Linked DNA regions of Saccharomyces cerevisiae S288C. The gene in region 2 interacts genetically with the main gene of each other region. Each region holds a gene or a part of one and is shown on either strand. Other genes may lie near its edges.

Region 1 (3,332 bases), on a different chromosome or scaffold from region 2:
TTTGGTAATCTAAAACGTAAACCATAAATGCGTACAATACCAATTGGATAGTTGGGATTAAAAATGGGAAATTGACCATTGGGAATGGTTGCATGGTTAAATGAGCAATAATCATCCGACCAACTACAAAGGCAACCGAAAAACCAATCGATAAAATTAAAGCCAAAGAAATAAAAGATGGTTGAATCAAGACTAAGGTAAAAATTGAAGAGAAGTATGCAAAGAATGGCAAAAGACCATTTACTGCTTTACTTATATTTTCTGCAGTTTTGCTTGGAGTTGCAGATTTGGTCGATTGGGATTCGTAATACCTCACGACGTTTGTATGAGCTGTGACAATATTAAATATTAATGCTCCTGTGCAAAATGCATACATTAGATGAACGGTTTCAACATCAAACACAAAATCTTGCCAGGAGAATTGCGCTACTTTAGTGTGCCAGATGGTTTGAGGTCCGTAAATTCCGACTGCAATGAAAGAAATACACAAAACAATAATACCTTCAACAGGACCGCAGAATTCAGCTAGATAAAGTTTGTGGGTGTGATACTCTTCCCATGTGCTCAAGTAAAAGCTGCACAATATCGCAAATTGTGAAAAAATGGTCATATATGTGTAACCCATACCTGTCATGGAACAGACAGGAATCATTGACAAAGTTGTGTTGATTGAATCAATACAATGGTCAAACAATTCCCCTAGAGGGCCCTGCTGGCCTGTACGACGTGCATGCATTCCATCGCAAGCATCAAAAGTCTGGTATAAAAACAAACCTATAGCATAGGAGAAATAGGTCCAACGTGGCGATTCCTGGTCAAAATACGGGTCGTAGTAAAGTGTTGTTAACACATTAAATATAATAAAGCAGAACCCTAATAATGTTACCAAATTGGGTGCCATCCATAGTGGAAAAATAGTCGCAAACTTTCTCCAAAAGGGCCTCAATACATGGTTTGAAAGGAAAGAGCGGTCATCACTTTGATACCTAAAGTCAGATTAGTAATTTAATGTTACAATAGTTAGTATTTATTTTTCTTGCCACAGAAGATTTAGGGTGCAATAAGATAAGCAACATACTTGTAAAGCTTCAAGTTTCCCAAACTACTCTGAGGAATAAAGAATCCCATTGTTTCCCCTGAATCAGTTAGTAATACTGTTTTCGAATCCATGGTAGATGATTTTCAAATTCATGAATTCAGTATCCATTAACCTTTTGCTATCTAATCTTTCATATTGGCAGAACGCCAAAGAAAAAAAAAAAAAAACGTCACTTCCCGCGAATTTTCACATGCACTTTAATCGATAAGTTTCAGTAATAGAACTGGACTATAGGAAACAACAATATAGGAAGGATTGCACAAGATCAATTTTTATGCAATAGGAAATCTTGTTATTTGGTAAATCAGCGAGATGTTGTATGACATGCAAATGCTTCACTATTCGGGCAATTCGCATTAGCACCTGAGTATATATCTGACATAAAAAGATTTCTGAAGTTATCGTCAGATAAGAAGATGGAGTCAAAATGTAAACAATAACTTTAACCTATATAAATTTTCTTACATTTGCTTTTAAATACTCGAAGATTTGCATTGAACGATCGTTGCCGTTGACTCATTTGAAACAGAAAAACAATACACGCAGGAAAGGAACGGCAGTTGGTCTGAGAAACAAAACCAACTTGCATTTTAGGCTGTTCCGATAGTTTATCAGAGTAAGGGAAAAAATAGCGTGCAAAAGCTATCGAAGTGTGAGCTAGAGTAGAACCTCAAAATATGACTTCGAAAAAAGTGATATTAGTTGCATTGAGTGGATGCTCCTCCAGTGGTAAGACGACAATTGCGAAACTTACAGCAAGTTTATTCACGAAGGCTACATTAATTCATGAAGATGACTTTTACAAACATGATAATGAAGTGCCAGTAGATGCTAAATATAACATTCAAAATTGGGATTCGCCAGAAGCTCTTGATTTTAAACTTTTCGGTAAAGAATTAGATGTGATCAAACAAACTGGTAAAATAGCCACCAAACTTATACACAATAACAACGTAGATGATCCCTTTACAAAGTTCCACATTGATAGACAAGTTTGGGACGAGTTAAAGGCTAAGTATGACTCTATTAATGACGACAAATATGAAGTTGTAATTGTAGATGGGTTTATGATTTTCAATAATACTGGAATATCAAAAAAATTTGATTTGAAGATATTAGTGCGTGCTCCCTATGAAGTACTAAAAAAAAGGAGGGCTTCCAGAAAAGGATACCAGACTTTGGATTCTTTCTGGGTGGATCCGCCGTATTATTTCGACGAATTTGTGTATGAATCTTATCGTGCAAATCATGCGCAGTTATTTGTTAATGGAGACGTAGAAGGTTTACTAGACCCAAGGAAGTCAAAGAATATAAAAGAGTTCATAAATGATGATGACACTCCAATTGCGAAACCTTTAAGCTGGGTGTGCCAAGAGATTCTAAAGCTTTGTAAGGATTAGGAAAGCGCCACAAAATCGATGAGAAGTATAAAAAAAAAAAAGTAAAAACAATAAAAATAAGAATGTGTACCTCGATAGATAACTTAAATAAGACAATTTCAGAACCACAATATTGATAACACCATCCCGATTTTTGAAATTATTTTTTTGGTGTAAATGAGAGAGGAGGGGAGTGAATTAGAAATGGAAAAAGGCTTCCTTAAATGGAAACCAGTCAACTTGATGAAGAAAATATTGTCTTTACCAATGAAAAAAACTAAAAACGATATAGGTTTGAGATTAGATATATCATATATTTTAGTTAATCTAATAGTCTGCTCATACCCGGTAAACACGTATCCAAAACTGCTTTATAGGAATAGCTTGGATGACTTAATATTGTTTCTAACAGTGTACCATGGCAAGGGAAATTTTAGAATTTTTAATTTTAGAGGTGAGAAAGAAGACAGCGATTATAAAGATAATGATCTTATTGGTATCGCTGCCAAGTTTGAGAGCAAAGATTTTGAAATTCAAGAATTACGTTCGACGCTGATTAATGATGGAAAGATACCAATATCACCCATTGATCTCGAAACAAGGACCTTGGTCGAAGAAGAAACCAATAATGTAATTTGTGAAAGGATCGGTTGGCTAGATCATTTTCCACCGCCATTTGAACTGCTGGAAGAGATTGTAGATGGTATAGAAAATTACCTGTCCGTTTCGAAGAATAGAGTGGCTGTTTTACATTGTCGAATGGGGAAAGGCCGATCTGGTATGATAACAGTAGCATACCTCATGAAATACTTGCAGTGTCCTCTTGGAGAAGCAAGATTGATATTCATGCAGGC
Region 2 (4,183 bases):
ATATCGTCATTATCCTTGTCGCTGGCCATGAAAACCCGCAGTTGCTATTTAATAGTTCACTCTACCTTCTAGCCAAATATTCAAATGAATGGCAAGAGAAACTCAGGAAGGAAGTAAACGGCATCACTGATCCAAAAGGCTTAGCAGATTTACCCTTATTAAATGCTTTTCTCTTCGAAGTAGTAAGAATGTATCCTCCTTTGAGCACAATTATTAATAGATGTACTACCAAAACGTGCAAGTTGGGGGCGGAAATTGTTATACCCAAGGGCGTATATGTCGGGTACAACAACTTTGGAACCTCACACGATCCCAAAACTTGGGGCACAACAGCAGATGATTTTAAACCAGAAAGATGGGGTTCAGATATCGAAACCATAAGGAAAAACTGGAGAATGGCGAAAAACAGATGTGCTGTGACTGGGTTCCATGGAGGCCGAAGAGCATGCCTAGGGGAAAAACTAGCCCTAACAGAAATGAGAATTTCTTTGGCTGAAATGTTGAAACAGTTTCGATGGAGTCTTGACCCTGAATGGGAAGAAAAATTAACTCCCGCTGGGCCTCTTTGCCCTCTTAATTTAAAGTTAAAATTTAACGAGAATATAATGGAATAAATATAAAACATGTAGAATTGTATATATACGCATATATGTATACAATCGCGACAACTTTTAGTGAAACTTCTTTGTATCCAGTGAAAATGAAAGGAACAGAACCTGACCAAAGGTCAGTAGAAAAAAAAAAAGCCTTTTATAGAAGTTCTTATCCAATCGTTGACATTTTGTCTGCTCTATTTAATGCTTCAAAAATCTGATCCCAAAAGTACTGGATATTCAAATCGAGACCAATTATTGTACCAACATCACTGTCATTTGGATATTCTTTTTCAATGATAATTTTCCCTGAGTTTTCGTTGAAAACATCATCAATGCAGGATATGTCCATTCTCTTGTAGCGAAATCCAACCGCAGACGATGGATCCCACCCATAAAATTCCAAAAGCGGCATCAAAGCTACCGGATCATGTATAGGTGGGCCCGATTCAAATCCTTGCATATCCTTGTAGGTATGAGCAAAAAATTGAAAAAGCTCCAAAAACAATTCTCGTAACTTGCTGTTATTCTTTTCGTTGTATATCATTTCGTTAACCTTGTAAGTAGCTATGGCCTTGTGAGTTAAATTTAGAGGAACTACTATACATTTGTCCTTTACATCGGGATCACGGAATATGTAATTCGCTGCGTCAGGATCAATCCAAACGTTGAATTCAGCAGAAAGATTTGGGTTACAGTTTCCTAGACCATGGAGTCCACCCCCCATAATGCTAATATATTTGACAGATTTTTTTAGGTATGGTTTACACCTAAAAACTGTTGCTAATGTGGTAAGTGCACCAGTAGACACAAAGGATATCTCTCCATTGTTAGCTAGAATCGCCTCTTCAATGGCCTCAATATACGTTTTATCAGTTCTTGCCTCAAATGTTGGCTTAGGTAGCAAAGAAGTGCCGTCTAAACCTGATATACCATGAATGTCAGGAGCATAATGAGGTTCCCTTTTCCAAGGTCTCTGTGCGCCTTTATAAACTGGAATCGCTTGTGCTTTGCCCATCGCAGTCAAAAGAGAACGGGCGTTGTAGTCAGTATTCTCTGGCGGTGCGTTACCAAAACACGTGCTGATTCCTAGAAGATTGAAAGCTGGATGGAAACAGCCTAATAAAATGGCTATGGCATCATCATGACCAGGATCACAATCTAGCCATATGGGTATTTTACTAACAGTCATCTTTTCTTCAAACAGTCGCTGGTTATTGCTGTCCAACCCTTCCCCAACCTTGCAGATGAGGGAAATTATCTGTTTTAATAAGTTTCGTGAGGTAAAAAAATCAGCAGATTCCATCAAAAGTAGTTGTCACGTATGTGTCAAATATCGCGTTACGTGGTGGTGAACAGAGGGAAAACGTAATCGCGCCTCACAGGTTACCGGTGAGGCTAAGGGAATAAACTTTGAGATAATAATTAGTTATACGTATACATATGGTCGCAGTTATATGCGTTGTCTATTGTACAAATTCTGCTGTATGATTCAAGTTACTGAAGGATATGATATGTCTATCATTGCTTGTGTTCCTGCTCAGGAATAAAGATGTCATTGCCCTGTTCAATAGCCATTCTAGTATGGAAAACAATGTCAGTAGATTCCCATGGATATGCATACCACTTGTCTGGAACAGTTTTAGCTGCAAAATAACGGTTCTTGTCATTCAACATTTCGGCAGGCAAATCTGCTTTCTTTGGTTTTTGCTTATCGTGTAGAACAAAAATCCCGAAGTTTGTTTTCATCTCTGGAGACTTTTCAGTATCGATACCTTTAGCCTTTGCCTGTTCAGCTGCATCCTTTTCCAATTCACTCAAAGCGTAATGAAGTGTGGTACGGGTGTCATCGACTTCGTCAACGATAAGAACGTTCTTGCCGACTAGATCTAATTTACATTGCTCGTAATCAATCCATTGTGTTCTGCTAACCTTAACACCAACTTCCTCAACTTCTGAGCCTACACTGTTCAAATCTTCGTACAAAGACAAAATAATAGCAAAAATTCTGATGGTTGGCACGCCGGGCTCCTTTAGGAACGTACGTAGGATCCTAGCAGGAATGAAACCACCACCACCAATGGCAATGATTAAGTCCGGCTTGAAATTCTTAATTCTCTCAGCGGATACTTGACATAGTTGATGTACGTTGTTGTACGAGATGTATTGCTTATCGTTTGCCGACATTATGGGAACGTAATGGATATAATGAACACGAACGGTAATATAAAAATAAGAAAGATTACAAGGCACTACATCGTATTACTCCAGCTAGATGGAGACTAAAATAAAAAAGTTACGGCAAACCAAACTGCGAAGGGGGAACAAAATCTAACGGAAATTGGGCTTATCAAACATGTTTAAATAGAAAATTCTATAGCAGCTCATCGCTACCCGATTTGGGACAGATGGAGGGGGAAAAATTTTTTTTCCTTTTCTTTCCTAGTAAACGCGAAATATAGAGAAAAAAAATGAAAGAAGTCAGATAAGCGGAAATGATATTAATTGAAATTAATCTAATTAATTTTTTCAGAAGAAAAAAAAAATAAGTGACTCGGAAGGGAAATATGTACTGTCTTTTCTTAGTTAACCAACTATGGTTGTGACGTAAAAGTGGAGTGCTTGCTTGATGTTCCAGATGGCCTTACTGTTAACGATGCCAGATGCAGTTCAAAAAGGATAAACGATTGTGGGGGTCTTTTGACAGATCTTCTTCGCGTGGGATACTTTCGTGATCTTTTTTTTTCTTTTTTCTTTTCTTACATTATGTGGTGAACTCTATATAAGTATTTATGTGCCTAGAGATTATTTTTGTATTCTGATGCGTGAAAGCATTTTATGCATGATATCCTCTATTCCATCTCAACGTCACTATATCCGGCTTCCTCCTCGCCGTCGCTCTGCTCCGTTTCTAAACGGCCATCTTGCTTAGATGAGGTATGCTTCTGTTCCTCTTCGTTGTCACTATCACCTTCTTCTTCTTCTTCACTGCCATAAGATTCTTCACCGTCCTCTATAAGGCCGGCATCATCGAGTTCTTCGTTATATTCAACGTCGTCTTCGTCCTCTTCGACAACTGGTTCGGATGAGTGGATGTCGCCTGCTTCATAGTTCAAAGTTTTGAATTTATTTATAGTACAGTCTAACCTTGCATCCAGTGCTAGTAGCCTTGGTAATAAGTCGGAACGCCTTTTCAAGGTGGAATGTAACGACGATAGAGTAGACATCAAATTTGGAATAGAAACCAAATAGCCACCGTGTATGATTAAACACCATTTTACCCAAACATTCAATGGGCCTTGACGGTGGGTTTGTCTTGCAATCCTCTCTGCCAACCTTTCTAAGAGAATGACAGCCAGTGCTGGTTTCAGACGGAAGATAGTATCCCTAATGACCCTCTCGTCACGATTATTGAGCACTGTTTCCAACAGTGAATGATCATTTGATTGTAGTGCTTGCGACAGAATTACTGTTACCGTCCCGGTTGTCGTAGCAGTCTTGAGATTGGAACCTTTTAAATTTGTTTTTTTCCCACTAATCCTTGCGACGGTGCTTGATTCTAGCTTATCACCAAATGTTTCTGTTAATAG

What was found. Genes that interact genetically often act in the same process or in processes that back each other up.
Region 1: mutations in URH1 (region 2) and NRK1 are lethal when combined (synthetic lethality), as found in Saccharomyces cerevisiae (2 studies listed by BioGRID, with this or other methods).

What each region holds. Positions count from the first base shown.
Region 1 is NC_001146.8:379,704-383,035, forward strand, and holds NRK1 (ribosylnicotinamide kinase), read left to right. Parts: upstream 1-1,776; coding exon 1,777-2,499; downstream 2,500-3,332. Other genes in the region: CPT1 (diacylglycerol cholinephosphotransferase), read right to left, coding at 1-986, 1,079-1,128; DGR1 (Dgr1p), read right to left, coding at 1,542-1,688; TEP1 (putative phosphatidylinositol-3,4,5-trisphosphate 3-phosphatase), read left to right, coding at 2,656-3,332. UniProt on the Saccharomyces cerevisiae protein: Catalyzes the phosphorylation of nicotinamide riboside (NR) and nicotinic acid riboside (NaR) to form nicotinamide mononucleotide (NMN) and nicotinic acid mononucleotide (NaMN).
Region 2 is NC_001136.10:1,268,665-1,272,847, reverse strand, and holds URH1 (trifunctional uridine nucleosidase/nicotinamide riboside hydrolase/nicotinic acid riboside hydrolase), read right to left. Parts: upstream 1,786-4,183; coding exon 763-1,785; downstream 1-762. Other genes in the region: DIT2 (putative cytochrome P450), read left to right, coding at 1-614; HPT1 (hypoxanthine phosphoribosyltransferase), read right to left, coding at 2,115-2,780; UTP5 (Utp5p), read right to left, coding at 3,446-4,183. UniProt on the Saccharomyces cerevisiae protein: Also acts on cytidine.